4 linked regions of the Drosophila melanogaster genome follow. The gene in region 2 interacts genetically with the main gene of each other region. Each region holds a gene or a part of one and is shown on either strand. Other genes may lie near its edges.

The links.
Region 1: of RhoGEF2 (region 2) and LIMK1, changing one suppresses a phenotype caused by changing the other (phenotypic suppression), as found in Drosophila melanogaster (2 studies listed by BioGRID).
Region 3: of RhoGEF2 (region 2) and flw, changing one suppresses a phenotype caused by changing the other (phenotypic suppression), as found in Drosophila melanogaster (2 studies listed by BioGRID).
Region 4: of RhoGEF2 (region 2) and mwh, changing one suppresses a phenotype caused by changing the other (phenotypic suppression), as found in Drosophila melanogaster (one study listed by BioGRID).

Annotation. Positions count from the first base shown.
Region 1 is NC_004354.4:12,587,254-12,594,703, reverse strand, and holds the start of LIMK1 (LIM domain kinase 1), read left to right. Parts: upstream 1-2,510; 5' UTR 2,511-2,773; intron 2,774-4,219; 5' UTR 4,220-4,255; coding exon 4,256-4,863; intron 4,864-5,020; exon of another isoform or gene 5,021-5,121; coding exon of another isoform or gene 5,122-5,180; intron 5,181-5,355; exon of another isoform or gene 5,356-5,382; coding exon 5,383-5,448; intron 5,449-5,536; coding exon 5,537-6,734; intron 6,735-6,803; coding exon 6,804-7,450. Other genes in the region: CG1824 (uncharacterized protein), read left to right, coding at 1-828, 1,092-1,697, 1,756-2,004. UniProt on the Drosophila melanogaster protein: Protein kinase which regulates actin filament dynamics. Phosphorylates and inactivates the actin binding/depolymerizing factor tsr/cofilin, thereby stabilizing the actin cytoskeleton.
Region 2 is NT_033778.4:17,024,125-17,031,895, reverse strand, and holds the start of RhoGEF2 (Rho guanine nucleotide exchange factor 2), read right to left. Parts: upstream 4,707-7,771; 5' UTR 4,557-4,706; intron 3,224-4,556; 5' UTR 2,901-3,223; coding exon 2,875-2,900; intron 772-2,874; coding exon 1-771. Other genes in the region: Dark (Death-associated APAF1-related killer), read right to left, coding at 5,468-6,151, 6,216-6,362, 6,418-6,537, 6,605-7,771.
Region 3 is NC_004354.4:10,382,554-10,390,461, reverse strand, and holds the start of flw (flapwing), read right to left. Parts: upstream 4,503-7,908; 5' UTR 3,951-4,502; coding exon 3,899-3,950; intron 2,020-3,898; coding exon 1,627-2,019; intron 1-1,626. Other genes in the region: Psf3 (partner of Sld five 3), read left to right, coding at 5,409-5,511, 5,580-5,974, 6,036-6,176; CG17841 (uncharacterized protein), read right to left, coding at 7,776-7,880. UniProt on the Drosophila melanogaster protein: Required for cell adhesion in non-muscle tissues and in maintenance of muscle attachment. Vital for larval development.
Region 4 is NT_037436.4:1,197,466-1,205,361, forward strand, and holds the start of mwh (multiple wing hairs), read left to right. Parts: upstream 1-3,320; 5' UTR 3,321-3,850; intron 3,851-4,405; exon of another isoform or gene 4,406-4,448; coding exon of another isoform or gene 4,449-5,332; intron 5,333-5,416; coding exon of another isoform or gene 5,417-5,501; exon of another isoform or gene 5,502-5,571; intron 5,572-5,850; exon of another isoform or gene 5,851-5,937; coding exon of another isoform or gene 5,938-6,821; intron 6,822-7,089; coding exon of another isoform or gene 7,090-7,174; exon of another isoform or gene 7,175-7,330; intron 7,331-7,896. Other genes in the region: Aplip1 (APPL-interacting protein 1), read left to right, coding at 44-765, 834-1,021, 1,090-1,162; meep, read right to left, coding at 4,449-5,332, 5,417-5,501; CG9119 (uncharacterized protein), read right to left, coding at 5,938-6,821, 7,090-7,174.

The sequences.
Region 1 (7,450 bases), on a different chromosome or scaffold from region 2:
TACATCTACCTGTTGAGCCGCGTCGGTGAGCAGATGGCAGCCAAGATGCGGCAGGATCTGTTCACGCAGATTGTCGTCCAGGACATCGCATTCTTCGATGAGAATCGAACGGGCGAGCTGGTCAATCGACTAACCGCCGATGTACAGGACTTCAAGACCTCGTTCAAGCAGTTCGTCTCCCAGGGACTGCGAAGTGCTGCCCAGCTGATTGGCGGCAGTATATCGCTCTTCATGATTTCACCGCACATGGCCGCCATTGCGCTGGCCAGCGTTCCGTGCGTGGTTATGTTCATGACGTATTTGGGCAAGAAACTGCGCTCTCTAAGCAAAAGCTCACAGGCGCAGGCGGAACGAGCGACGGGTGTCTGCGAGGAGGCGCTGTCCAACATCCGAACGGTTAGATCCAGTGCCTGTGAATACCGCGAGATGCAGCTGTTCGAGGCGGAGACCAATGAGGCGGCTCGCCTGGCGCAGAAACTCGGCTACGGCATCGCAATCTTCCAGGGCCTGACCAACTTCTTCCTCAATACACTAGTCCTATCTACGCTCTTTATGGGCGGCCACCTCATGTCTACGGAGAGTCTGTCGCCGGGTGCTCTGATGGCCTTCCTGGTCGCTTCGCAGGGTGTGCAGCGATCCCTTGCCCAGGGATCCATCCTGCTGGGCACCATGATCAGAGGCATGTCGGCCGGCAGTCGAGTCTTCGAGTTCCTATCGCTGCAGCCACAGGTGGAATTGCTGCGCGGCTACATCATCCCGCAGGAGCGGCTGCACGGCGAGATTCGATTCGAGAACGTCTCATTCGCATATCCCATGCAACCCGATCATGTGAGTTGTATTAAAGTATATCTTCATTTCATTCTCGAGACAATGATGGCATATTTACATTAATCGATGCTCTGTAATTTGTAAACTCGCCACTTTTTTATATAATATTGAATAACTTCTTATCGCTTCCGCAAGTAGATAACCATTTTATAATACCCACAAACATTTATGGCCAATATTTACGGCTAAGTGATAAAAAGATTAGAGTCTAGGCAATGCAAACAGTAATGAACTTCCTATGTCAATTTTTGCTTCATTCACAGCTGGTGCTCAAGGACTTTAGCCTGACGCTCCGCCCGGGCCAGACGGTGGCCCTGGTGGGAGCCAGTGGATCGGGCAAGTCGACGATAGCGTCGCTGGTGGAACGCTTCTACGAACCATCGGCGGGCAATATCAAACTGGACGGCTACAAGCTGTCGGACATATCGCCCTATTGGCTGCGGTCCAATGTCCTCGGTTTCATCGAACAGCAGCCGGTGCTGTTTGGCACATCGATATTGGAGAACATCCGATATGGTAAACCAGATGCGGGCGAGGAGGATGTGTATGCGGCAGCGCGTCTATCACAATCGCACGACTTTGTGACCGCCCTGCCCGATGGATATGCGACGCATGTGGGCGAACGGGGCACCCAGTTGAGCGGCGGTCAGCGGCAACGCATCGCCATTGCACGGGCGCTGCTCAAGAATCCGCGCATCCTCATCCTCGACGAGGCGACGAGTGCCTTGGACGCCACCAGCGAGGCGGAAGTGCAGAAGGCACTCGATACAGTGGTCCAGAATCGCACCACTCTGGTGATTGCCCATCGCTTGTCCACGATACGAAACGCTGACCTCATTGTCGTCCTTGATCAGGGACGCGTCGTGGAGGTGAGTTGTCCTAGACCATTGGTATCTTCAGAAATATTTATATTTTCCCTTGTTTTAGACCGGCAAACATGACGAACTGATGGGCAAGCGGGGCCTGTACTTTGAGCTGGTGCGTCAGCAGGAACGACGGGACATCCAGGAGCAAGTCCAGGCGGTGGAGGACGTTGTGGCCGTCAAGGAGCAGCAGGCAACTGCAACAGAAACTTCAACAGCCGCAACAATTGCAACTGCCGCAGAAACTTCCGCAGCAACAGTGACAGTGGGGAGCAGCAGCTTCGGTGGCAGGGCAAACGCAGCGCAAGGATAGTGACGATGTTAGGCAAATTGAATGATTCCCTATACACTTAATTTAATATTCTTATAATGTTTTCACTTTTTTTTTTGTTTTCAACTGACCAAAAACAAAAATGGTGAGAGACGCTAACAATAAGTATACAATAAAATAAACGCTGAAGACAGTATTGTTTTTGTTATAAACAGAAAGTATTTCATTGTCATTATCGCTAAATTCACCGGGTTCATTAAAAATAGATGGGATGCGTGAACTTAAATTAAAGTTTGAAAAACTGAATATAAAACACTTGAAATCCCAATTTCCGTTAAATAATATATTCAATGGGACCGCATTATTTCTACAACCATACTCATATACGGTCACTCGAAGATTAAAGAAAAACTATTTCAATATTCAATTCTGTTCAATATTTCTTGTTAGTGACAAGCAGCGTGTTTATAATAAAAAATTTGTTCATTAAAGAGTTTATATATTTTTTAAGTTGATTGGCAGCTAGACGATAGTTTTGAGATTCTTTAATGACAGTCCTACGGTCACACTGGCTGAATTGTATTTTATTTTGTGTAGTTTTGTTGTTGTTTTGTTTATTATGCATTTCTTTTTTATTGTTTGAGTTAGCGAGCTGTGCGTCGCGTCGGCATTTAAACAAAATCCGCGGCATTTCGGTAGTTGCGATTAATAATTGCTTGGCGGGAATTACAGTCGAATAAGAAATTGGCGAGGAAAAACCAACAAATGTGCAATGTGCGTCAAGTCAATAGCAATACAAACGAACAATTATGTAAGTGTGTGTGTGTGTTTGGTTTAGTTTAGTGTACAAGTCCAGCAAAAAACAATAAAATCTAAGTAAAAAACCAGTTGTTGTTGCTATTGGCTTTGCTAATGTCGTGTTGTTCCCGTTCCCCCACACACATTTTCTAACAGCGCGTGCATGTGTGTGTGTGTGTGTGTGTGTGCAGCACCTGTACGCGTGTGTGTGTGTGCTTCTGCCTCCGCACAGTGGACACATTCCTGAATTTTGGAGTCCAAAAATATGCAAATTGCCTGAGTGAATTAATTGACTTAATTAACAAAAATTGGACCGCAAGTTATGATAACCATAGTTGATTAAACGGAATTAGTTTCTAGCGGGACTAGTGCGACAAATACTCAAACTTACTTGATTTTTTACCATTCGTTCCATTCGTAAACCTAGCTTGTCTTGGCTATTTTATAGACTTCAGTCAGGGTGGCACACCCACTCATTTCCAATCTCTTCAAAGCAAAATCACAGCACTGTGATATGGTTGGTTAAAGTAAAAGTTCAATGGGTTAAGCAGGTGATTAAAGGCACATTAACCCCTAATGGAGCTTGGACTGCACTTAACGCACGGCTCACATGTGACCACTGTGCGCGCGTGCAAGTGTGTGCGTGTGCATTCGTCATTCATTGGTCATGTTTATGCGGTCGGAAGAGGGACGTGCACAACAACTACAGTTAGCTCAGCTGAAGTGCAATTGCGATTGCAGTTGATCCAAAGAGTCGCGTTTGTTGTTGCATCAACCGGAGTTTTCACGGTCAATGTTGAGCTATATCCATAAATACACAAACATTCATGTGTATTTGCATATACATATGTATGTCCATATGCATATATCCATGGATTATGCATGCAAATCGATGATGGAAATCAGGCGGTATAGCGAATTCCGATGGGGGGCAGCTGACTCAGGATCGAAGTCTTTATCACTGAACCCTAAACTAATGACTACCGGACTCAATTATTTTGTTTTGTTCGGTCATTTTGTTTAGTACGCAAAAATATTTACATGGCTATCGCTTTAGCAATAAAGTTCGAATTGCTGTCCCAGTATATCATAAAAAATCACGGAGAGTTTTGAATGCAATTGGTTTTGAAAAATGCCAAACCTTCCTATCATTAACACTTAAATCAGTTAGAAAAACTAATATAATACTATATTAGTTGATAATAAATGCATTTCATGTATGATATCATTGTAGATATCTTTTTTCTCAACGTTAATGATAATGGGTAAAGATAGCTTATTTATAGACCTACATTGCCTATATGATATTTGCTTAGTTTCCACTGGTTCATATCGACCTGTTGACGATAATTGGCCAAGTTCCGTGACTGCTGGTCTATATTTACTATATTTAATACCTATTCCGTCATCGACTAATACCTTTTTTTTAACCTCCCGCCCCCCTGCTCTTTACCCACAGTGCTAACGTGATCGGGCCAAGGCACAAAAACATTCCATGCATCATCAGCAGCGCCTGCGGGCAAATGGCGGACGAGGAGGCACTGGATTGGGCGCAGGATCAGGACCTGTGTCCGGAGGACACTCACCATTGTGCGCCCATTGTCGGGGTCAACTACTGCCACATCCAGAGGAGCCAATCGTGATGGCTCTCGGCCAGCAATGGCACTGCGATTGCTTTCGCTGCTCCGTTTGCGAGGGCCATCTGCATAACTGGTACTTCGAACGGGAGGGCTTACTGTACTGTCGTGAGGATTACTACGGCCGATTCGGCGATGCCTGTCAGCAGTGTATGGCCGTTATCACCGGACCCGTAATGGTCGCCGGCGAGCACAAATTCCATCCGGAGTGCTTCTGCTGCACGGCATGCGGCTCCTTCATCGGCGAGGGCGAATCGTACGCCCTTGTCGAGCGTTCGAAGCTCTATTGTGGCCAGTGCTATGGCAAACGTTCCTGCCAGCCGGCGGATGCGAAGGCGCGGATCACAACGGCCGGCAAGCCGATGCACTCCATCCGTCTGGTCGAGATACCCAAGGACGCCACGCCCGGCCTGAGGGTCGACGGAGTGGCCCTCGACGATGGTTGTCCCACGGTCCGCATTACAGAGTAAGAAATTAACTGAAATTACTATAATTTACATCAATGAACTCATTGAGATGCATGCATTTGCATTATTTATTAACTTTATTGTTACATTTGTTTCTTGTTGTTTTTTTTAAGATCTTTTTCAAAGATCAGATTGTACTCTTTTTTGAACTTCTAAGTTGCCTTTGCGTTTAATGTACATATGTTATACAAACCAAGCCGTCTTCTCACTTTTTACACACAAGTCACAACATTTTTTTTATATGAATTTAAAGAAGAATGTCTTTTTGGTTACATTTTGTACTGAAAAAAATTTTACCATGGCTCAAATCTACGAAGTACGTATTGTGAAATGATAACTATTATTTGATTGTATATAATTTATTGCTTCAATCTGACTCACTTTTGGTTGCCATTTGTTAAAGTTTGCACATTAGCTAACTAGGTCTAGTCCTAATTGCCAACTAATTTCGCTGGGCGTTCGTCCTTCGACTCTTTCTGCATTTCCCTAATACATGCTTGCCCAAAAAAAAAAAATAGCTTGTTCTGTAACTTCTTCTTGTGGCTAACCTCGATGGCGGAACAGTGCTGTGGGGCGCCTTATAGGTAACAAATGTGCCTGAGTTGAATTAAAAGCAACAACTAAGCTAGTAGTAACACTTTGCTAATTATTGATTTATTTCCTATTATCCAGAATTGATGTGAATCTTACAAATCTGCATATTGGAGATAGGATATTGGAGGTGAACGGCACACCAGTTAGTGATTCGTCCGTGGAACAGATCGACAAATTGATACGGAGTAATGAGAAGATGCTTCAGCTGACCGTGGAGCATGATCCGGTGCAAGTGTGCCGCTCCTGCAGCCAAGCGGACATCCAGCGGGCCATGTCAGCGTCCACGTTAATCCTGCCGCTCAGCACATCGGCCTCCAGTGTCGAGGTGGGCAGGGAGCGTCTGTACAAGACACCCGGCGAACAGGGCACGAAGGCCAGGAAACTGCGACAAGCCACCAATGCCTCTACGACAATACCACCGGCAGCTGGAGCCACCGCAATGACGCAACTAAAGGAGAAGGAGCGTTGTTCCAGTCTGTCCAAGTTGCTGGATGAACAGCATCAGGCACAACAGCATTCGGCGCATCCTCAGCTCTATGATCTGTCCAGGACGCAATCCTGCCGTGTCGTCCAAAAGCCACAACGAATCTTTCGTGCAACTGATCTGGTTATAGGAGAGAAGCTAGGCGAGGGCTTCTTTGGCAAGGTTTTCAAGGTGACCCACCGTCAGAGCGGCGAGGTGATGGTCCTCAAAGAACTGCATCGTGCGGATGAGGAAGCGCAAAGGAATTTCATCAAGGAAGTGGCCGTTCTCCGTTTGCTGGACCATCGGCATGTGCTCAAATTCATTGGTGTTCTGTACAAGGATAAGAAACTGCACATGGTCACGGAGTACGTGGCCGGTGGTTGTCTCAAGGAGCTGATCCACGATCCAGCCCAAGTACTCCCTTGGCCCCAGCGCGTCCGCTTGGCCAGGGATATTGCGTGCGGCATGAGCTATCTGCACTCGATGAACATCATCCATCGCGATTTGAACTCAATGAATTGCCTGGTCCGTGAAGATCGCTCGGTCATAGTGGCGGATTTTGGACTAGCTCGCAGTGTGGATGCGCCGCGGCTGCCAAGTGGCAATATGACGCCAGGCGGCTATGGATCAGGCGCTAACAGCGATGCGCCCATGTCACCGAGTGGAACACTAAGGCGCAGCAAGAGCAGGCAGCGAAGGCAACGTTACACGGTGGTCGGGAATCCCTACTGGATGGCACCCGAGATGATGAAAGGTCTCAAATACGACGAAAAGGTGGATGTCTTCTCCTTTGGCATTATGTTGTGTGAGGTAAGAGATTAAGATAATATGATTTTATTGACCGATTTATCTTTAACTTATTTGCCACCTGCCTTGCAGATCATTGGACGCGTGGAAGCCGATCCGGATTTTATGCCTCGCAATTCGGACTTCAGTCTCAATCAGCAGGAGTTTCGCGAGAAGTTCTGCGCTCAGTGTCCAGAGCCTTTCGTTAAAGTGGCCTTCGTGTGCTGTGATCTTAATCCCGATATGCGTCCGTGTTTCGAAACTCTGCACGTTTGGCTGCAGCGTCTCGCCGATGATCTGGCCGCCGATCGTGTGCCGCCAGAGCGTCTGCTGCACGAGATTGAGACCTTTCAGGAATGGTACGCCAGCTCTGAGGACGCCTTGTCACCCACCTCCCAGCGCAGCTTAAATAATCTCGATGAGTTGGTCAAGAGTGCGGTGGATTCGGAAATTTCGCCGGTAGAAAAAGAGAAGGAGAATATGGTGATTAAGCCCCAGGATATACCGAAATCTCCGCATCTCGGCAAGGATTTCTCGCCCAGCGGCGAGAGACTGCGTGACAGTATGCGGGCCAGGCGTCGCCAACGTTTCTTGGGCGCCCAGGAGGAGCGTCGTAATCTCACGCCCGACACGGAGTCCAAGGAAAGGGCTTTGAAGAAGGCGCTGAAGAAATGTCGTCCGTTTGGCGAAAGAGGTTACCTGGTGGATCTGCGTGCCGGTGCCGAATTGCAGCTAGAGGA
Region 2 (7,771 bases):
TCTTTTCGCACAGTCAGGGTTAAATACTGAAAATTTTTTGGTAATGCTAGGCTTGGCGTACTCGGCGTGGTCGCTGGCGTCGTGGACTCCTGGGTGTGGCCACCACTCAGATCCCGGGAGAGGGGAGTCAGATTGAGGCTACTGCGCTCCCCCGGCGCCTGGAGAACGGGGTTGGAGTTGTCCGATTGATTCAATTGCACGCCTCCGCCCATTATGCTGCCGTTGTTGTGGCTCGCATTGTTATTATTGGCGGTGGTGGGCGTGGCTGGGGCAGAAACACCACCACCAGCTGCAGCCGTAGAGTCACCATTCATTTGGTTCTGCTTGTAGCTCGGTGGCAACGGCGGCGTCTGCGGCGGCACGGCGTTCTGGTTCTCCCGATCCTTGTCCCGATCTTTGTCCCGATCCCTATGACCACTAAGGCTGCTGGCCAGACTACTCAGGCTGCTCGCCAACGAAGGAGATCGTGGAATCTTCGATTTGTTCGCCAACTGCTTTTGCTTCTGTTTGCTCTTCGAGTTCTTAACAGATTTCTGCTTGGGCGCTGGCAGCTCGGGAACCGAGTCCACAACAATTACTGGTGACTGTGGCGCACCCGCTGACGGGCCTGCAGATGTCGCTCCTGGTCCAGTTGCAGTTCCAGGGCCTGAGTGGCTGGATCCGTTTGTGCTGGTATGGCTCGTTGATGTCTCCGGGGGCTGAATGCTTGACTCTTCTGGTATCTCTTGAACCTCATCGTATTCATGTTCGTCAGTATATAAATCTAGTAACCTGACGGAACAAAATATACATTTAGTTTATTCAAAACTCTTATTTATTCATTATTATAATAATAATTATTATTAATTCAGTAAGCTCAAGTGTAATTAAAACCCTGCCCGCATAATATGAACTCCATCTTGATATCTGGCAGCAGAAAAGCAACAATTTTTTCAATATGAAATAGCGCTGTGGATATTTCATTGTTTTAAAGTCTTCGCTTTGAGTGACTAATTTTCTATCCGTCGTTATCTATCAAATCTTTATCTTCATTTACTCAGATTAGTTGTCACCAATACCATTTTACTAATCTTGTAAAACCTTTTATCGCCTTTTTATACACACTGATTTGGTGACTACCGTCTCTGTGGTTACAATTAATTCATTTTTATTGTTCCTTTACTAAACCATGATGGTTGATTAGCTAGTTAGTTTGTATACCCTTTAAAATACTAGACTTCAGGCATTGAATAGAACCAGCGGATTGCCAGCTCAATCATCTATGAGAGGTAATCAATGCTGAATAATTTCATGGCGGAACTGCTTCTGCTCTTCGCCAACGATTCCCATGTGGTATGCTGGGTTTTAAAGAGCAGATAGCTAGATTAGTGGCTAATCAAGACCTCGCTGTGAATGCGACAAACATGTAACGAAAGTCACGGCCAAAGCCAAAGCCAAGCGATTTGTCGTCGCTGGTGGGTCTCTTTTAATTGAGCTAAAATTAAATCAGCCAGAAGAATAGATACACTTTAATTGCCGTTTATTTGATCATTTTGCATGTGAATGGAATGGATAAACATACATATGTACATATGTATGTCCCAGTATACAGTGTGTACCACCTTCGGACCCGTTCATATACCGGAATATAATAAAAGCTCATTTCCCGCCTGGTGAATTCATCATTATGATGAGTTATTTCCATAACAGCCGGGCGGGCAGGCAAGACCTCCAAAAATCAAATGTTTACATTAACTTTTTTGACTGATTGGCCCATGTCAATAGCATGTCTCTCCGTTTGATCCAAGTGAATTCTCTTTCTGTCTAAATTTAGCTGCCTAATTTTGAGGAAATCTTGCTGCAGCCCGTTGACGGGCTGGCATAAAACCTGTTAAGGCCCACAAATCAGACGACAACACCAGTGGTGGTGAGCTGTTAATAGATTTAAATCATTTTGCATAGGTATATTATACAATTCGTGGTTAAGACACCACCACCAAATGCACACACAAGCATGCTTAGAAAGTCACTGGTTTCGCCAATCTATTTGGGCTAAAACTTCCCTAGGTGGCAATAAAAGAAATAAATGGTAAAATGTGAAAACTGGCCGCTCCCTAAGTTGGTGAGCGTATATATGTATTAAGTCATCCGTTTGGCAGTCGAAACCGCACAAAAACAACCCCAAGCTTGGGGGAACTATTGGTATAAACAATCAGCAAACACAGTGCGTTTCAGAACTGTGAGACGGCGCAAAGTTTCACCTCGTCAATTGGCTATTTTCAAACAACGTTTGCTGACTAATCACGGGTCAAATGAATTAGTAATTGCTTACAAAAGTTGATCGGTGATCTAATGCACAGTTAAATCATCTGTAACTGGCTTAAGAACTATTTAAAATGTAGTAAAATACCTATTATTTTAATATAATTTCGAGGATTCTTAAAGGCTGCTACACTATTTAGGCAACGATCTTACATAAGTTGCTAGTTCTTAAGGGTAGCCCTAATATGTTAATATAAGCACTTAGGTCAAGAATGTGTGAAAGCTTCTTTTATGAGTAAAAATTCTTCCGATTTGATATAATAAGAGCTTTAACTTTTTGTGTGACTAATATCTTCTTCTTCTTCGAGATTTCATTAAAATTATTCAATTCCCACAACCAGTTGACACTGCCTTTGAAATTTGCATTAAACCTGCCTCTATGATGTATATTTGGTATATTTATTAGTATGTGTATAATCGACTGTTGCTTGCGAATAAGAACGAAAATAACAATTATTAAGTCTGTCGAGGACAAAAGATAAATTCTTATCGCAATGCGAGCAATTTAACCAGTGGGAAAGTGGAAAGTGGGGAAATTGTAGCGCATGGAGACAGTGGAGCAGTTGAACTCACCGTTTTTTGATTGATGGGTCATCCATAGGGTTTCCTGCGATGGCTTTTGCTGGCTGCTGTGCGGGTGCGAAGATGCAAATTCAAAGGCATGCGTAAGCCACTCGAAGTCGGAGGATCCCGTGGAGTATTGTTCGCATTGGTGTGGGGCCAGTCACCAGAAGTGGTTGCGGAATGCTTTCGGCAGCTATTTTTAAATTAGCTAGTAAAAACGGGCCGAAATGAATCCAGAAGTGATTTAATTGCCTCGATTTTCGTTGCTTTAGTTCTGTTTTATGATTTTTTGGTTGCACTATTCCAATGGGTTTTGATATGTGTATATATATTTTGCACTGCTACTTTTCACTTAAACCTGTGGGCACACAAAATTCGTTTGAAGACATTTCGGGCATTAATGCATGTACATTAAAATATTTGTTTGCATTTTTTTTTTTTTTTTTTGAGTGGGTGGTGAAGGGTTATGGGGGATGGGGCGGATCGGAGAGGGTTCAAATGCAGGCAGCAATCTCCTTGCAATTTCATTGTTTTTATTCCAACACAGATAACTGAACAGCACACCCACACACTCACGCGCAAGCCATACATATTCCAATGCCTATGGCTCTCTCGCCGCGCTCGTTCTCTCTCACTCTCTCTCGTAATCTCTTGCTTTCTCTGTCACTCGCAGGCAGCAGTTGTTGCTGGTTTTATTGTTGTGCTTTTTGCTGACTAGTTTTCACGAAACATTTAATGGATGACGACTTGGGGTTGGGGGAAAACAAGTTTTTGGCCGAAAAATTGAAATACTAATGCTATACTAATGGGTCAGAGCGGACACACAAGCAGGAAAATTCCAGCGATCCTTTCCAGATTTGCGTATTTTCCATTAGAACAGCTGATTGTTCAATTAATCGCTTGTGTTCAATTAGCGTGACGAAAACCCAAAAAGAAAAACAAAGACTCCCTCTCTTTCTTTGAATTTGCACTGATCTCACTGTTTGTTTACCTAAATAAATCAATTCTTGCAGTTTCACTCCTTTTTAATTAAACGCAAATATTTAATTGAATAAATATGTATACACACAAACTGGACTGACTGACTGACTGAGTGTGTGTGGGGGTGCGAGTGCGATCATCGCCGCAAACGCAAAGGCAAAACAATATGGCTGCCGCAAGCCACTTGTTAGAGAAAAACAAGGGATTCGAAGCCTCGGAAAGCGTCCAGTTGTTTATCATTTACTCATTAATTCGATCGCTTCCCGCTCCGTCAAGCCGCACATCCCTAAAATCGAATTAAAGCCATGTACTGCAGTTCAAGAGTTCAGCACTCGACGCACTCACACACGCGCGTCGCTCACTAACACTCACTGCCACCGATGGGCGAGTGTGGAAAATAAATACACATATGCCGTCATACATTCGATGCCCCTATAAGCGCGCTGCGTCTGTCTGCGTGCGATGGGTTAGAGATCATTTTTAGACAAATTTGCGTACAATATTTCCTGGCAGTTGCAAGCTCGCGATTTTGCCATTGACGAGCGTGCACAAATGCACTTAAATATGTATGAATTTTACGCCAGTGTGTGGGTGCGCGGAATGCATGTAGTCACTTTTTTTATTTATTGCTTTTGTTGCTGCAGTGAGCTCACGCGTAGCGAGTTGCGCATCATTCTTTCTCTGCTTCGCCACTTTCGCCACGCACTTACTTAAAACGCACTCGTATTGTATTCCATAAAGACACGAAAAATGTTTTTATTTTTTTCACTTATCGCGCCATCAACACGCACACGACGTTCTTTTCTTTTCAGCTTGAAAATTGGAATGAAATGACGAGAAAGAGCGCATATCTGCCAGTGTTGAAAAGGGCTTTAGTTCGGTACGGAATTCAGTACCTAAAACTGGTACAAACAAGGTACCTTGCCGATGATACAAGTTAGCTATTGGTTTTTATTCATTGTTTTAAATGCTTCTTAATATATTTCGTACGTGTGTTCATTAAGGCAATGTGTGTAAATCTTAGCTTATAAAAATTATAGCCCAAACTTGACTTGAACTTTTTAATAAAACCAAAATGCAAACATTGAGGCCAAAGCCTTTTTATTAATTTAAGTCAGCTTAGAAGTAGACGAGCCACAATCCAGATACGTACCTATTTATTGGACCGCAACACTGATATCCATACACGAACTTAGCAGCACTGTCCCGGGACCAATGCTTTTGCAACACTTGATCTGGCGTGCCTGGCAGAAATCAAAACAAACGCACAGCACAACCACCCACACAGACATGCATGCATACATACATACGGACAGCACAAAGAGCAGACAACAAAACCGCGTTCTGTGTTTTTCGTGAAATGTCGTTTATTTGGTGGCGGTTACTCGCGTTGACAAACAAAGGCAGGGCAACGCACCCACCGCCCTCTGAGATATCATACTTGGTTAGCTGCATACATTCGCAAATGTAAGCGCCAACAACTAATGTTTGCCTAGGACAAATCCGGACCCAGGAGGTAGAAGAGCAAAACCATCAGGTAGTAGAGCAGTAATCCTATAAATGCCATGTTGTAGTTTGGACTTTCCTGTTTCGTGCGCCGCCTAGGGACGCACTTCTGGCGTCATGAACTGGCCTCCTCCAGAATTGGTGTCGCCCTCGCCACTCCGCCGTTCTTCTCCAGAACCAGGTTGCCAACTACATCAGCACCCTCGCTATCCGAATCCTGCATAAGTGGGCTGTCGAGAATTCGAAGATTTTTTAAGTCTTCATACTGATTGGCAATATCCAACGTAACTGGGTCAGGTGGAGGTTGAAGTCTGCTTAACTCCAGCAACTGCAGATGGTAGTAGACACCCTCGTCATCTATGGCATAAAAGTGGGAGAAGTGGGCGTCTGTGAAGAACTGACGAGCTTCATTTCCCACAAATTTAACGCAGGCCAGGAGTTCCGGACGGATGGCATTGCCGCGCTTATTCCGCCACAGTTCCGCAGTCCCTCGGTTCACCGGATGAAACTCGTCGGCAACGAATGTCACATCTACATCGATGTCCGCTGCAATGGGCGCCGCATCCACAGCATCCTCTTGTGTAACACTGTGCTGCTTATGGCGTCGACTGCGCCGCCGTTTTTGCTCGCGCTCCAATTGATTGTTGCGCATGTGCGTCACATTCCAGAAGCACAGCTGCTCCGCGCAGCTGATCAGGAGCAACTTACATGGCGAGAATAGCAATTGCCGGATGCAGTGCTCGTGGACCTCTTCAATGCTGTAGATCAGTTGAACTTTTCTGTTTTCAACGGCAAAGAGCTGTTGGGAAATGTATAATTAGCAGGAAATAATTATGAAACGAATTTGTAAGACGTATGTATACCTCTAAAGTGCCATTTTCGAAACCCATAGCCAACATGGTACCATCATCCGTGGCTACCAAATAGCTGATCTTGGCCTTCTGGGCGATCTCTTCTTCGCAAATCTGTTCGTACCTTAGTTGGTTACAGCTGAATATTAAACGGAATACCTGTCGTTGGAAATAATTGATAATTGTTTAATGATATTATGTTTAGCAAACCCACATCGATGATGTTGTTTTCGTAGGCCAGAAAGAGAAGACTGTTCTTTAGATCAAAGCCGACAATGTATTCCTCCGAATCCTTTGGTTTCACGAATGCAGATGGGTTAGCTATATCCAGATGCTGTTGGTAAATATTGAAATCAAATACTGCACTTTTACTCGCATAAACTTCAATTAAGAACACTCACACAGACTCCGTGGTCGGAAAACAAAATGATATACTGTCCTTCCTGCAAGGACGCGTACTTGGTACTAACATCCATCATCAATGGCCACTGGTCATTGGGTTGCAGCGGATCTATCTTTTCCAGCTGGAATATCACAGTCTTCTGGGCACTGTGTGCCGACGCCACCAGAATGTTGGGACTGACCTGTTTGAGGTAATCAATGGGCTCCTCTATAAACTGCTGAGGTAGCGCTGTATCATGAATAACATCTATTATCACTCCGTCCACATAGCCAACGAAAATCTGTTCGTCGTTAAAGGCGGATATGGCATTTATCTTACAGTTACTGGCAGCATGAGTGGGTGTGATTGTGGACCATTCGGAAATTCTAGAAATGGCCGGTTTAATTAGGTGAATGCGCTCCTTGGAGTCCACAGCCAGAAGTTGCGTCCGCTCTCTGGTCATGTCCATCAGAGAACGCAGATAGACATTAGGCTCCAAGCAAGCCTTTGTCATCACGCTTATCTCATCTGCACTGTGAACCCAGGCGATTTCCCTGTTTTGATGTGAATTCGAGCCGCTTACAGAGCGCAATGTGTGCACATGGACCACCTGTTTTCCCTTAGCGCCGCACAAAACAATGTACTTATAGACAGGATCAAACAGCTCGTATATATCCACACACTCTATATGTTCGCTGACATTGCTGCGTAGCACGGGATCAGAGATTTTCAGATCATACACAATAAGTCCCTCGGACGTGCCCAGCAGTAGGTAACGTCCGTCAGTCGAACGCTTTCCGCAGGTGATGAAACTTCCTTCTGGCAGTTGCACTGCCTCCGATTGCAAACTAACCGAAAGACCTGGCAAAAAATTGAGCCGCCATACGCTGTACTTAAAAATCAGCAACACGGTGGCGGTCTTACTCCTTTCGTCAAATACATCTAAGGCCAACGGCGTGTCGTTTTCGACATTAAAAACATGTAGTTCCAGCGTATTGCTGGAACCGTTGGTCAAATCCCATACAGTAAGTGTGCAATTTGAGGTGCAGACCACGTAATATCGCTTTAAAACCTGAACGAAACACCGTATTCCCGACTGCATCGTTTTCAAAACAGGCACGTGCGACAGTTTGAACTCCTGATCTTGTTCGTCCCAATTCAAAATACTCACATCACCATTGATGAA
Region 3 (7,908 bases), on a different chromosome or scaffold from region 2:
GCCAGGGGTTAAGGCTTCTGGCAGGATAATTGCGAAATTTTTGAAGGTCACTTGTTGCTCTTAGTTTCTCGGGCATTTGACTCAAACTTTTGCAAACTTAATGTCATTTAGCCAATAAAAAAATCTGCGCTCAAGTTTATAATACATTATTTTCTAATCTTATAGATACATATGTGTTTCGTGTGATTTTCGACTATCTAAATGCGACGATTTGTGGCGGTTACTATAGGTTGTGATAGTTTAGATAACCCGAGAACTCACAAGAATTTGTTGACAATCGAAACCAGAAATACTTATATAAACCCCCTACATATAACGAAATCCCCGATTTGTTATATAGAGTAACTATCTGCACACTCAACGCCAATCAATTTTGATATAGTTTATGATTATTGTTTAACACCCAGAAGTGCTGCAGTTGTTTGCCATGTCGCATGTCACATTCAACGAGATTCTTTTTTGGACAACAATTGCCATTGCCCACCCTTTCCGACGTCATCATCGTCCCCCCATCCGAATCCCAATCCCAATCCCAGTGCATAGAAATGGCAACCCCTTGCTGCCGCATTCTTCTCGGATTTTTATACATTTAATTTGTTTCGCATTACATTTGACGATAGTGGATTTTGCGCTGTGTGAAAACAATTAGATGAAGGCGATGCGATGCGGGTTGTGGCTTTTACGGGGTGGGGGGGATTGGCCGGAGTGATTGCATAACACACGGACACATACATAGATATAGAGATACACATCTGTAAAGTACCATATATTTATATGTACCTAATCGGGGCAGGCGTTGGTCAAGCGTTGGCACTGACATCGCGATTGCAGTTCCGGAAAAGTAAACGGTAGCCCCACACCAAATCATAAATATTATGAAACTCTTCTGTCCCAAAACAGATGTAATTGTTTCTACTTATAGCTATTCTAGTGAAGTGCAGATGGGATTCCAGTTAATATTGTTTGAGCTATCGATTGCAAACCCCAATCAAACATATTGCAATTACATTGGCAAATAAACAAAATTAGTTGGGTAAGTTATACCGCCACATAAAAACCGGATTACTTGATTAAAAATAGTTTAAACTTTCGCAGAATGAGTTAAAGATTCATTCGAACTGTCTGAGAATGAGCTTATCAATGTCTTATCAATAGCGTTCATACATTCGTGAATGCCTAGTTATGGAGGCAGTGGCAGTGGCAGTTTATATTGTTTTGCTGAGTGTACCCAGGGATATACATAGTGCTGATTGAGTGGAGATATGTATTAGTTCGGTATTGCAATCCCTTTGTGCTTCCCAAGCTTTTAGCCGTGTGACAAGCGAGTGAGCTGGCCCTAAAGTGATAAGTGTGGGTTGCATTTGATTGGAACAGAGCTGAATGGGATTGGATTGCTTTCGGATTGGATTGGCTTGGCTGTACGGAGGAGAACAAGCGCCAGGGGTCTGGTGACGTGGGTGGGTGGGGGGTTATAGAGGACAGCACGCTACTTAGAGTATGAAGTCTCATGGTCATGGTGACCACTGCAGTATGGCTTTTACTTTTGCACTGGACTTATGGATGATCATCAAACATCGACAAAGTGATCAATAGGGGAGGTTGTTCTTAGATTGAAAGTGGTAATACCAAACTCGGCGACGAAAAAATCGCGCAGTTTCAATCTGGATTTCTTGGGCTCCTCGCGCGGATGATGGACGGTGATCTGGTCGCCATCGGCCGATATCATCGTCTCGCTGGGCGGCGATATCGAGTATTGCTGGAGCAGACGGCGCTGCTGTTCGGTGAGATCGTCGAGCGGATCATGGCTGGATCCTGGGCCAGCGCCGGCACCAGGAGCACCAGCACCAGATCCCGATCCGTATCCGGATCCAAAGGAGGCCACCGCCGCCATCGACGAGTAATTGCTGCTGGATGTGGGCGATGTGGCAGATGCGCCGGATGCTCCGCCGGCGGCGGCCAATTGTTGAGCGATTAGCAGCTTCTGGGCGTGCTCTTCGGCCTCTTTTTGTTTTTTAAAGTCTTTCGAATGGATGCACATATACATATATATTCATATATACGTACACATATATATATATATATAGAGAGAGAGATCTATTAAAACTAAGGGGTGTGGGATAGGTGGAGTGGGCTTGCGGGAAAAAAGCATAAAAGAACACAAAAGGAGGGCGAAATTTCCATATTTCTCGGAAAAGCGAGAGCCAGAAAACACGACAGCCCGGCTAAGTGCCCTAAAAATTCAATTTCAATTTGCAATTTGACAAATGAAATTTATCTGCCGCCGCCGCTGCTTTTGCCATTTTATTTTCTTTTTTTTTTTTTGCTGCCGGTGACAGAGGCTGACGACGCTTCATAGATCAAAATTAATGGCATTTTTCGGGGGATGGGGTGGTGGGCGTAGTGCCATGACCTAGCCCACTCGATGACCTTGACAAATGGTTGTGGCCTACCTCGACCATCTCGCTCAATCTGCCCCTTTTGCCCATCGCCCATCTGCTTTGGCAGCTGAGAGTGGTTTACAGTGATCACTCGGTAGCTAACACGGTAAGTAAGGAAATATACTTTCTATGATATATTTACATACTTCATAACGTAGAAACATAACCGATATCTGAAAAGATTCTTCTCCGTTTTCCTTTTCCGCTGTGTTCTTCCGTCGAATGACCACTGTAGTTGGGTCGTGTCATATCAGCGCAAGAAATAAGTGAAACCGAAAGACAGAATCGGAGGAAGAAAAGCGAAACTCATTGCGGAAATGGACAAAAACCGAAAATCGCAATGTTCAAATGCAATTTCCCCGTGGCGTCGGTCAGAGCTAAAGCCAAATGGTGGCGGCGGCCCGCCCCCCGGAAAAGCGGAAAAGCCCATCCCGTCCCATGCCGTATCTTCGACATTGGCTGACACTTGCAAAACGAGACAAGCACTAAGCGGCTTAAGCAACCCTCGCAGATGTTGGGTTTTCACCAGGGCAAAGGCATATCGCATTCGAAACCTAGAAGAGGTTGCAAAAATGTAAACTATTTAGCGCTTTTACGCTTTGCAGGAAGGTTGCATGATGACGACGATGACACAGCCCCCACCACCCATTCTAAGCCACATACAGTGGATATCGGCTATAGCGGTCGATACCCAGTAAAAATTATATTGATATTGATCGCTGGATAAAAATATCTTCTTGGGGGCTAGGAAATATAGGATATATCGGTCGTAGATTTCTCAACCGTCTTTAGCGATAGTTGCGTGACACGAACAGCGATCCCACTCCAACGGGCAGTGGGGTTACTTGCGACAAAGCTCCTTATCGAGTAACTCATGTGATTCCGTTCCATTCCTTCGTCGGCGATTTCATAGCTACACATTCTGTTTGAATCACGCCCGTGTTTATCAGCTCGATGACGTCATTGCCAATATAGGCGAAACAAGAAAAAACACAGCTAATAAACCAAAAATCATTTGGGAGACATTAGCGCAGGACAGAGATGGCGTGCTTAACAGCGCGATCACTGTTAGTATTATGTAAACGCTAATGAGCGTAGCGTAGATGCTGTCGCTGTTGTTGTTGTTGTTTTTATGGTTTTTGCTGTTTTTCAAGAGGAGCAATGAAAATCAATTAAAACTAATTGATTCAAGAGTCAAATTCAAACGGTTGCAGCGGCAGCAGCGGTGGCGGCGGCGGCGGTAGAGAGAGGGGCTGTCGCAACAACAAAAAGAAAACCTACTACCATTTAAGCGAACAATGTGCAATAATTAGAAAATGCAATCGCACACACACACACACGCAGATAAACTGTGTAATAAATTAAAATGGGGACAGTGGCGTGGGAGGGGCGTAGAGGGTTTGGGGGGGAGGTTTTGGGAAAGTAGGATTGAAAGAGGGGGAAATTTCGCATCTACTTACTCTCCAGCAGCCGCTGTATCAAGCTGTCCACATTCAGATCGAAGTCGCCCATTTTTCAGCAGCTAAATTGTTCTTCTATTGGCCGCGTTTTGTTGTTGTGGCCAGCTGTTCCAGAATTCCGATTGGAATTTTTGGCGCAACAACTACACGCACGCACACACAAGCACACACACACGCACAGCGACGCCCGTTAGCTTATAAACTTGTATTGTATGCTATTGTAAACAATAAACTTTGTTTAATTCAAATAGTCGTTATATTCTTTTCTCTTTTTTGGTCGTTTTCTTACTTGCCGCAAAAGGCAATTTCACTTTATGCTCTCTTTTTTTCTTATTGAGATTTTGTACGGTGGGCCGCTGATGTTCACTGATGTTGCACGAGGGGCAAGAACAGAAAAAAAAATATATAGACGCACGGCTGATCGACTTTCGGGATCGCAAATCGATCAAGGAATATATAAAATATATATATCTATATAGATGTGTTAGATCTCTGCAGGGGGAGAGGAGCTGAGAAATCGGCTTAACTGAGAATTTATAAACCAGCGTAATCTTTTCTCCGCCAATAACAAAACTCGTCGGACAGCTAGCTGAGTATGACCGTTTGCCGGAAGGCTGAAAAAGTTTTTGGTGGCGGCGGCTTTACAGTTCGACTTTATCGATAGTCCGATGGGCAACGAAGCCAGCCAGTGCTCAGCAACGCGGGAGTTAACTGTCAAAGTCCTTTTTCGCACTTCAACGCTCGTGCCTTCAAACTTCTTACTGTGAACTCAAATCTCGACCGAACAAGTTGTGTGCTCCCTATGATTTCGTTATTAACTGATATTAACTACACACACATTTCTCTAATCCTTGCACACACATAGCTAAATCGAAATGGCTCTTTCGACCATCTGTCCGTTCCTCGTCGCCAACAAGAAAAACTCGAAGCACGCGGCTTTGCTATTTTTGATCTCAAGTGGATTGATGATTTTTAATATGGGCGACTTTATCGACGACTTGATGATCATACGGCTAGATTAAGATCAATTGTTCGAAATTGAAGTCAAAATAGTCATTGCCGGGAACGAAACCTTTATTTTTATTTGTTTTTGAAAGATGCAGATAAGCCTAAGAACTTGCGGAAGAAGTAACCATCTAATTGCAATCGTATCGAATTACTATTACTAAGCTGAGTTCACATGTTCCACATCATTTACAACTTTGAGTAATTATACCCTGACTAGTAATTTTATGTATAAAAAAATGTCAAGTGCAGGCTGCAATTTAAAATTCGCGCTGAAATAAGAGTAATTTTCCGGAAAAACTATTTACATATAATACATATAAATGCTTCGATATATATAGTACATAAAACCTATCGAGTGCCTCGGCATCCAGGCAAACAGCTGTTTCTGCCTCGATAGACCCCGGCAAAATGCATCTAATATCGATAGGCGATAGGTCGCGCACTTAAGAAATTGAATTTACCTAAAGTAAACACCAAACGAATCATAAAGCTGGGCCGCGCAATGAACGGAATGAACTATTTTCCGAACTATTACTCCATCGAGGACATATTCGTGACCCAGGAGAAGGTGGAATGTCGGGTGAACACCAAGCTGCAGCGGATGGGTAAGTGATTGGCTTGGACGGACACGCACATTCTGGCCAGTAATCCGACAATATTGAGTTGCTTGCAGGATTCCTGGACTCCGGCGCGGAATCGGATGACCTGGAGCCCGGCAGGACGGTCAATCTGCCGTTGTGGTACATCAAGGAGCTGAAGGTAAACAATGCCTACTTCACCGTCGCCGTGCCAGATATCTATCGCAATGTGCATAAGGCCGTCTGCGAGGCGGAGACCACGCACATCGAGCTGGGACGCCTGCACCCGTACTTCTACGAGTTCGGTCGCTATCTGACGCCCTACGATCGCAACCATGTCATCGGCCGCATCATCTTCGAAACGCTGCGCCAGAGGGTACGTCATCTCCTGGACATCTCGAAGAGCGACGGACAGGCAGCCAAGGCGGAGCATCGACTGGATAACATCGAGGCCAAGCTGCACGAGGCTGGAGTGCGCACCAACAGTCAGGTGGGTGGCTGTACTACCAGTCAAGTGGGCACGGAGTGTTATATTAATCACATAATTTCAGTACATCGAATGGCTGCAGATGACGGGCAACAAGATTCGCACCTCGGAGCTGGTCGAGGAGCACCAAAAGAAGCGGCGACGTGCGGATCGCAGCGATGACGAGGGCGATGCTCTGCCCAACAGCAAGCGGGCCACCTTGTAACAAGCAGAGTAAAACAACAAAAACAGACCACTGATGTACTGTGGAACTGTAGCAACTTTATTTCGTCCATTCGTTCGGTGGCCATAGGGCAGCCTGACCTCTCAAAAATACACTTTTCATCTACTCTATGCACACGGCTAAATCCATTTGTACAGTTCAAAATACATGGGTTTCGCATACATCTACGCATAACTAAGCATCCAATCCGGGACCGGTCTTAAACAAAACACATAGGAGCTGCCGTTCTGCGTTTTTCATTGACTTGGCAATAAGCCAAAGCGATGTTGCGCCACATTGTTACATATAAATAGTTAACTACATATATAATTATATTCTTGTAAGCTCAATTAAAATTTGATTTTGTGCTAGTTTCACATACAGTTCACAAATAAACATATACACCAATGTCCAGCGTACATAGGTAGTTCGTTTAAAAGCAACCAATATAGGACTTCTATTTCAGGGACCGTAATGCTTATAAGTCTGGATTGTGCTATTTGTTTATTTTGGAAGAGTTTTCAATGGTATAATGTAATGAACTAAGCAAGTTAGGCTAAAGCGCACAAAGTAGGCCAATATACATATATATTATACTCGTAGGTGGAAAATGTAACAAATGTGTTTTTTTTTTCATTTCTTTGATAACCTAATAAAGATAATCTAGTAAAACAAATCAATATCAAATTGTCTGAACATCAGAAGCTTCGCAAAATGAGCATATCGAAATATATCAAACAAGTTTACAGCATTTGAATTTAAACGATAAGATAAAGAAGATACTAATGTAGCACAATTAAAATTCTGATTACTAATATTCTTGTGTCTTGTAAAATATCGTGATATGCAATTCAGAAAATATATATACATCGTTTTCCACTTGACCATATTCTCTACATAGATGGCCGAAAAATGATCTACGGTCCCCGGTTATCTGGTATCTATATATATATCCTTGGTGACTTTCACAATATTAATATATATATATATATGTATATGTATATTAATATATGCACATCGAACATTCCTAGCTGTGCATCTGGCCAATTTCTTTTGGCTTTCATATGCTATGCTCAGTTATCCTTCTTCCGCATTTGCATTTGCAATATATATATTACTAACAGGTTATGGTATTAACACAAGCATTCATTCCCCTCGACAATTTTTCGGGGCGGTTAACAACATCGATTTCGTGGATATAGCGGAAATTGAATGCAACATTAATTCGTTAATGGTTAGGGGCTTGCTTCAAAAAATAAGCAACATAGTTTATTCGCTTTATCTGCATTTGGTTTTAGTTTTGTTCTTGTTCTTAGTTCTTCACTTTCATCTTTATCGTTCTTTTTTTTGTTTTTTTTTTAGTAAATAATGTCTTTATTTAACACTAAGGGTCTGTCCATGGTCTTCGGTTCATTTGTAGGTCGCCATCGTTTCCGCTGCCTTTTTCATCCTCCGTCCGTCATGGTTTTCTGTTTCCGGTTTTCAGTTTTCCGGTTAGTAGTGGGTCGTTCTTGTTGTATAATTAAAAATGTATAAACAATAGCAAGATCTCCGCAAAACGGATGCGGCTGGAACTCTGCCTCAAAATAAATACAATTTGCACTAATTTTTGCCATTTATAAGGGCGGTGGGGGTTGGTGTGGGCACGGCCGCCGACTTTGCCGATAGAACTGCGTTGGGCGGCCGTCTCTTTTGCGGTAGAAAGACCTGAAAATGAAAGAGACACATGCATGTG
Region 4 (7,896 bases), on a different chromosome or scaffold from region 2:
CCCTTCGTAGTTTCGGGCTAACCCACTCATGGCCTCGTTGCAGCTTCCATTCTGCATCTTCTAGGTGGCTCCAACTTTGGCTCCCTGGCGGATGAGTTCCGCAACGGTGGTGGTGGAGGAATCCCTCCAGCAGTTCGCAGTGGACAACAGCGCTCATTTCTGTCCCTCAAATGCGGCTACTTGATGGACGAGGACTCCAGTCCGGATTCGGAAAGGATGCAGAGTCTGGGCGACGTGGACAGTGGTCACAGCACGGCGCATTCGCCCAACGACTTTAAGAGCATGTCGCCGCAGATCACGTCTCCCGTTTCGCAGTCCCCCTTTCCGCCTCCCTTTGGGGGCGTGCCCTTTGGCCAGCTGGAGATGCTGGAGGCCACTCACCGTGGTCTGCACAAGTTTGTGCCGCGGCACCACGACGAGATCGAGCTGGAGATCGGCGACGCCATCTACGTGCAAAAGGAGGCCGAGGACCTGTGGTGCGAGGGTGTGAATCTCCGCACCGGAAGGCAGGGCATCTTCCCCTCGGCCTACGCCGTGGACCTGGACTACAACGAGTTCGATCCCACAGTGCAGCTGGTGAAGAAGGAGCGCTATCTGCTGGGCTACCTCGGATCCGTGGAGACGCTGGCGCACAAGGGCACCGGAGTCGTTTGCCAGGCGGTGCGCAAGATTGTCGGGGAGTACGGCAACTCACCGACCGGACAGACGTGCATCCTGGAGGTTTCCGACCAGGGACTTCGCATGGTGGATCGATCGGGCCCGAATGTGAGTAGGATACATACATATATACATCTTCATTAATAACCGATATAAAAACCGATTTCGTGAAACAGCAAAACAAAAAGGACAAGAAACCTTGCATCGACTACTTCTACTCCCTGAAGAACGTCTCCTTCTGCGCATTTCACCCTCGCGATCACCGCTTCATTGGCTTCATCACCAAACATCCCACGGTTCAGCGGTTCGCCTGCCACGTCTTCAAGGGCTCGGAGTCGACCAGACCGGTGGCCGAGGCAGTGGGGTGAGTCCTCAAGCAGTCATCCCCCCAAAACAAACGCTCGAATAACATGTTAACACTCCTTCTTTCAGCCGTGCTTTCCAGCGATTCTATCAGAAATTCATTGAAACCGCTTATCCCATCGAGGACATCTACATTGAGTAGGCTTGCAAGGCGGTTTGTGCATTAATCAATACGATATATTTTTTGTGCGGTTATTACGAATAAAAGCAAAGATAAGTCTCAAGAATATTTGCTCTTCTTCAAAGAGAATCTCAAAGCAAAATCAATAAGCTCGCAATAGAAACCCTAGCTATAGATTATTATCATTTATCCGTTTTGAACAAATGTGCAAGATCTTAGACATGTAAATAGTTAGTTAACTTTCGTTCAAAATCCCCACTTCACACTCACACTCACACTGAGCTTCAAGCAATCAGCAATAGTTGCCCCCTCTATAGGAACCGCCTTTAAACTCGAGTTCACTGGATATATGGACAGAAGCAAAAGAACACCTTGAACACCTTGAATTTTGTATCGGGAGTCAGTTGGGTCAGTTGGGTCTATTGTAAATCGGAGATAAGCAATTTGGATTGGTTATAGATATCCAGACCCTCCTGTAACCACATCCTTAACCTGGCAATGCACAAAATAGAGTGAGGCCAAAGTAATTTAGCGATCTTCGTGTAACCTTAGTTTAGTTATGCCAATCTTTCAGTTACCAGAGACTCAACAATATCGAACACCAGCTGCTACGTTTTGAAGTATTCTCAATTAAAGCCCAGTATAAGATGTGTAAACCTTTAAAGTTGTGTACACGCAGGCGAATATATACTGTATATGTATACAAAAGAAATATATAAAGAACCTATAAATCAAACTATATTGGATTATTGGGTGCTCAAGGAAGAAAGGTGAGTTTTATTAGTAAGAGAATGTAAGCCCTTTCATCTTATATTGTAGAACTTACCCAAAAGTATGCACTTAAGCTCAATTTATAGCAAGTTGATAGAATCCCGAAATGATGGTAGATAATATTTAGCAGCCTAAAAGATAACTTATAATTTGTAAAGTAAATTATTTTACACATAAAACATGTGAGTTTATCTCTCGCGGGAAATGAATTGGTGATTTGCATAAAATTACACGACAAGACAAGATAATACTAATCGGCTATATGAAGGCAATGGCCAATTGCAGTTTAGTTTTAAGATTAACTTGTGATGACTTGTTTTGAGCGGGCCATGGAATGGAATGATGGCCCAGAAGTTCCCATTCGGATTCCACATTAGTTTTATTTCACCGCACATTTACCAATGCGGATCTACGCCGGAAAAAGAAACAATCGCACATTAATGAAAACGCCCAGGGAGTGGAGAATAAATGGCCGAGCCATTAAAATGGCGATACATCAGTTAGCCTGGGGGCATCAATCATTATGCAATTTTCGCGAAGCCGGCCAGCAGCTTTGGGCCACTTTCTTCGGAGGTGGTTCAGTGAACGGGTTGTGGCGGTGGGCCTGGTCGGATCTGCCTTTGGGCAAAGTGCTCTAACAGGAGCAGCGACTAAGACTAACTAGTTCGTGTCGCTTTTAATGGAAATGGATACCCGAAGTAGCCTTGGCAGCGACTTTGGCTGGGTTTCGGTGTGGGAACTGGTTTCGGGGTTGGGAAAATCGCGCGGCACTCGCTTGATGCACTTGTCGACGTGCCCGGCCTCTTAACTCTATCGCAAATGTGGCCAATTAGAGATTAAACGACAATTTCAATTTAAAAACGCTTGTAAAACAGACCAGCCGAAAAGCCAACCTGATTTTCCTGAGCTGCCAGTGGCGGCAATGGACTTGTCAAACCGATTCGATATCTAGAGGGGATTGCCGATGCGTTTTAGCAGTCTCTAAATCAGTCAGTAATAAAAAAAATTGAGCTTCTGATTATTCTAGTACATTTTTAAATTCTCTATATCGTAAATTATAAAAGTACTATGCTATGTTCCTACTATCTATCGAATACGCATGCTATTATTCATATATATATTTTTTTTAATACTTATTTAATTAGGACACTCCCTTTATTAATTTACCTTGTGCAAACTGACAGAACTTCATTGCATAGATAGCTTCTGAAGCCGAAGCTCTCGGATAGTGACATCTTATCCAAGGGCTACCGATTCTCGAAGTGCATGAATGGATAGAACCGAAGCTCGTGGAAATCCCCCAAACAAGTTCGCTATCTACGCGCCTGAAGAGCAGCAGCTCCATGTGGAAAGCCACTCCGACCAGCAGCGGCAGTCGAGCCATCTGATCGCGGACTTCATTCAGTCTGCAACTCGCGTTTCAGCCAAGCAGACGCGGCTTAGAGCACAGTTAAAGCCAGGCCAAAACCGAAACTATAGCCAAAAGCCAAACGCGAAGCTAAAGTCGACGAGCTGGCGAAGTGAAGATCGGTAGAGTGGAGTAAATCAAACCGAGGCAGCTAATAAAAAGTGCTAATGGTGTGTTTAAAATATGAATAAACCGAGTATGCCTGAGCCACAAAAACGGTTACAACAACAACCAATGCCACAACCACAACGGTAACAATAACAAAAAGAGATTTTCTTTTTCGTGGGACGAAGAAATCGCATTTGCATTTCACCGCGCTGTTTGGTAGATTAAATTGGATCAAATCGAATCGATGGAAGTTCGGTGTTTGTTTGTGTGCTCGTCGCGGCCAAAAGTGTTGCTACTTTCATAAAAAGGTTATAAGAATCTGGAATAGTGAATAAATAAATGCAAATATTGGAGACCCGTTAAGCAGAGCCGCGGAAGAACGAACAATAGGATTTTGAGGGAGAGTCACCCGGCGTGAGTGGGTAAGTCAGTCAGTCTGTCTGTCTGTCCAAGTTCTGTGCGTCCATCTATCATGCCTTCACTACGATTTGTAACTGTCACAACAAACGGGTTGTTTTGGTTCAGCACTCCCGCCCGGCCAGTTGGGGAAATCCATAGGATCGTTTTACTGGCTGAATTCACCAATGCATTCGCTGTGTGCTCTGCATGGATCAAAGTTATTAAATAATTAATGACCAGCGGTGCAAAAAGAAAAACACAGATTGCTGCATGTTTGGGGCATTATTTACGGCCTGCTTAGCTAGACGTCCGTATCGCAGCTCTCATTAGGCCAAGCATGAAGCTCCAGAACACCCATCCCAGCCTCCCATCGCAGGTGCTATCCGGCCAGCTGGCTATACAGATCATTTAGCCATCGATTTGCATCTCGAAGAAAGCGGCTCGGTGGCTCTAATTTTTGGCAATTACATAAACCCCATGCCCTCGAGGGCCTGTTCCACAAATGATGCGGCTCCAACGAGCCATGAGCCACACTTTGGTAATCTGAGAAAACCAGACAGAAACCGAAACCATTTTCTCGAAGACGTTTATTTTTGGCAGGAACAAATGAGCAGATGAAGATCAATCTCTGCCCAACTGATCGGTCGCCACGGGTCTGTCCACACGGATCACTCTTTCGGCCACGTTCAGATAGGCCTCGTACTCCACAATGTCCGGCGTGGTGTCGTAGTGATAGTGGCCTCCCCAGTTTGCAAAGGAAAACGAGTGGAAGTGCTGCAGGCGGAGGTCCAGTCCCATGTCCTTGGTCACCAAGGTGCCCACTGCGTTTAGCTGGGCGGGCATTTCGTAGAACTTCAACCAGTTTTGGATCTGTTCCTGTGTGTGGATGGGCGTCTTGCTAAAATCTCGCATTACGTGCTGGTGGACACATCCCCTCCTGACCACGAACATTCCTCCCAAGCCCACCACCTGGTCTCCGTAGTGCCGTTCCAGACCCTTGCGAATGCATTCTACAAAGTTTTCCCCTCCAGTGCGCTGTTTTGCGGAAATTCGGAGCACTTGACCTGGTTTTCCCTCGCTGAGGAAGAGGTTCAGGATCAGAGCAGCACGAGATTCGGTTTCGGGAATCCTTTCGAGAACACAATCCTCATTCGCTCCCCTCACAGTGGCCGTGTAGCTTCCTTGAGTGAGTTCATCCTCTTCGTTTAGCGAGAAATTAAAGATCCCCTCGCAATTGGAGTGACGAATGGGCCACGGACCTGCTCCCGGTCCAACTGCAAAGATCTTTCCTGCTCCTTGGGTCCGCCGAGTGATCTCCTTCAGATTGTAGAGCTTATCTCGCTGCACCAAGGGCCGCAAATAGGGTGGCCCTCCTGCTTCTAGGAGAGTGGCCTTTCCGCCCAGTCCACGCTCCACAAGGCCAAACTGGGAGTCCCTTAAATCCGGGCAAGCTTCCACACTGACATCTACGGTCCGAAAGTTCTCATCCAGAGCACCCTGTATGACTGGAGAGCAGGTGGAAAGCTTTATTTGACGTATCCGCTAGATGAGAACTATTTTTATCAGCTATTCCACGCGGGAGTGCTCACCTCTTTTCAGTTCCGAGAGGGGCGGCACATGGAGTGGCCTCTCCTCAAAGAGCAACTGCTCCGTTTGAAGGTGACTCCCGTTCATGGTATCTCTGCAAATATTTCGGTACGGGTTCAGGGCCTTTCCTTGCTGGAGGTAAACTAGCGACTGACCGAAGCACCATCGTTTGGTAAAAATGTCTGTCATTCGAACGCCTGTCATGATAATGTTCTACTGATACAGGGCTTCCAATTTATAAAAGTATGTGGTTTTCTGGTTTGAGTTTCTATTAAATATACTATTTATAATGACCTGTTTTCAAAATAACAAAGTACTAACCTAGAGAAGTAATTTTAGATTTTGTAAATTTGGTTGGCCAGCTAGCTGATAAGCTATTTTAGTATTTGTTAAGCCTGACAGGGATTTGAGCAGATAAAAAGACTGTTTCTGTTTTCGAGCTTATGTTTTGTTTATTTACTATTATTTATTGGGGGTTGGGGCAATGGAAAAGTCGGCTACAACTAGATACGGCAGATAAGATCTAGTCGCGTCCCACTTTGTGAGTGGCCACGGGCTTATCCACCCGCACCACCCGTTCGGCTACGTTCAGGTAGGCCTCGTACTCAACGATATCCGGCGTGGTGTCGTAATGGTAGTGACCGCCCCAGTTGCTGAAGGAGAAGGAGTGGAAGTGCTGCAGGCGAAGGTCCAGGTCGTGCTCCTTGGTCACCAGCGTGCCCACGGCGTTCAGCTGGGCGGGCATCTCGTAGAACTTGAGCCACTCGTTCACCTCCTCGTCGCTGTTGATGGGCGTCTTGCTGAAGTCCCGCATCACGTGCTGGTGGGCAGCGCCCTTCTTGATCAGAAAAATGCCACCCAGACCCACCACCTTGTCCCCGTAGTGGTTCTCCAGGCCCTTGCGGATGCACTCGATGAAGTTCTGTTCGCCAGTGCGCTGCTTGGCGGTGATTTTCAACACCTGACCAGGCTTGCCCTGGCTGAGGAAGAGGTTGAGAAGCAGGGCGCACCTGGGCTCTGTGTGGGGTATCTTCTCCAGGACGCACTCCTCCTGCTCTCCCCTCACAGTGGCCGTGTAGCTGCCGTTCGTGAGCTCATCCTTCTCGTTCACGGACAAGTTGAAGATGCCCTCGCAGTTGGATCCCCGGATGGGCCAAGGTCCCGCTCCGGCGCCCACGGCGAACACCGTGCCGGGGCCCTGGATCTTTCGCGTGATCTCGGCGATGTTGTACAGCTTATCTCGCTGCACGAGGGGCAGCAGAAAGGGTGGGCCTCCCGCCTCCAGCAGCGTGGGCTTGCCGCCCAGTCCACTCTCCACCAGGCCGAACTGCTTGGCCTTCAGATCCGGACAAGGGCCCACACTGACATTCACATTGGCGAAGTTGGCCGCCAGGGCACCCTGTATAACTGTGAGAGAGGTAGGGTAACCATTAGAGCTTTATCTCGACCTCCATCTAGACGAGATATGGCAAAAGCTGAGCAAAAGCTCCACCGCCAATCATATGTTTCTGTTTCTGTTTGAGATTTGCTCAATGAAAACAGCAAACAAAAAACACAGAACGTAGAACCCACCGAAAACCGGCTGTGGAAAGTTCGGCACCGTTCTGCTGAAGGTCATTTGCACATGGCACGTATTGTTATCTGCGGGATCGCTGGGAAATCCAACTCGACTCACCGTTCTGCAACTCTGACAATGGGGGCACGTACAGCGGCTTCTCCTCGAAGAGCAGTTGCTCCGTACTCAGTTGGTTCTGGCTCATTTTGGTTGGAGATGTGTCCTAGTTACTTTGCTCCTTATTGCGATTCTGGCCTCGTTCCGATTCAGGTTTGGATTCCTTTCTCTAGCCCACCAAGTATTCTAGTCGCGCTGAGGCTACCTACCGCTCGCTAGATCGTTGCAAACACGACTGTCTGCTGAAACCAGATGGGGTCTCGTTTTTTAAAGTTGAGTGCTCGGCTCCCGGTTTGCCCTATAGTTAACATTGCTGGTACGGCCGGTCGGCACAGGGTGCATCCGCCGATAAGATAAACTCTTGTGCCGTATTTAGTTTAATTAGAGTCGAGATCGAGTTCTTAAGGTTCCTGCGGGGAGGTGGAGCGATCCATCAGCTCTCACGCTTAATGCGCATGTCAGGAAGGCGTATTTACGGTGCGGCTATTTCGTTACAGTAGCACCTCCGTTTAACGACCTATGTCAATGTGAGGCACACACTTTTCCATGAATGCCACAAAAACTTTCCACTTCGTTGTCACTTTCGCTGCCCGTAAAGGTTCTATAGGGCTCGGACCCTAAAATAACTGGTTGCTGCTCCATTTGATGGCTCACATTTACATATTCTCTGTCTACAAAAGCCGCCAAGAAAGTTGTTGTCCCCAACTGACCCATAAATTAAGCCAAACCAAATGTTTTCAAACGACTTGGTTGATGGCCAATTAAGAATATCTGTTTGTGGTAGGAATAGGTAGTGCGGTCCACGCAGAG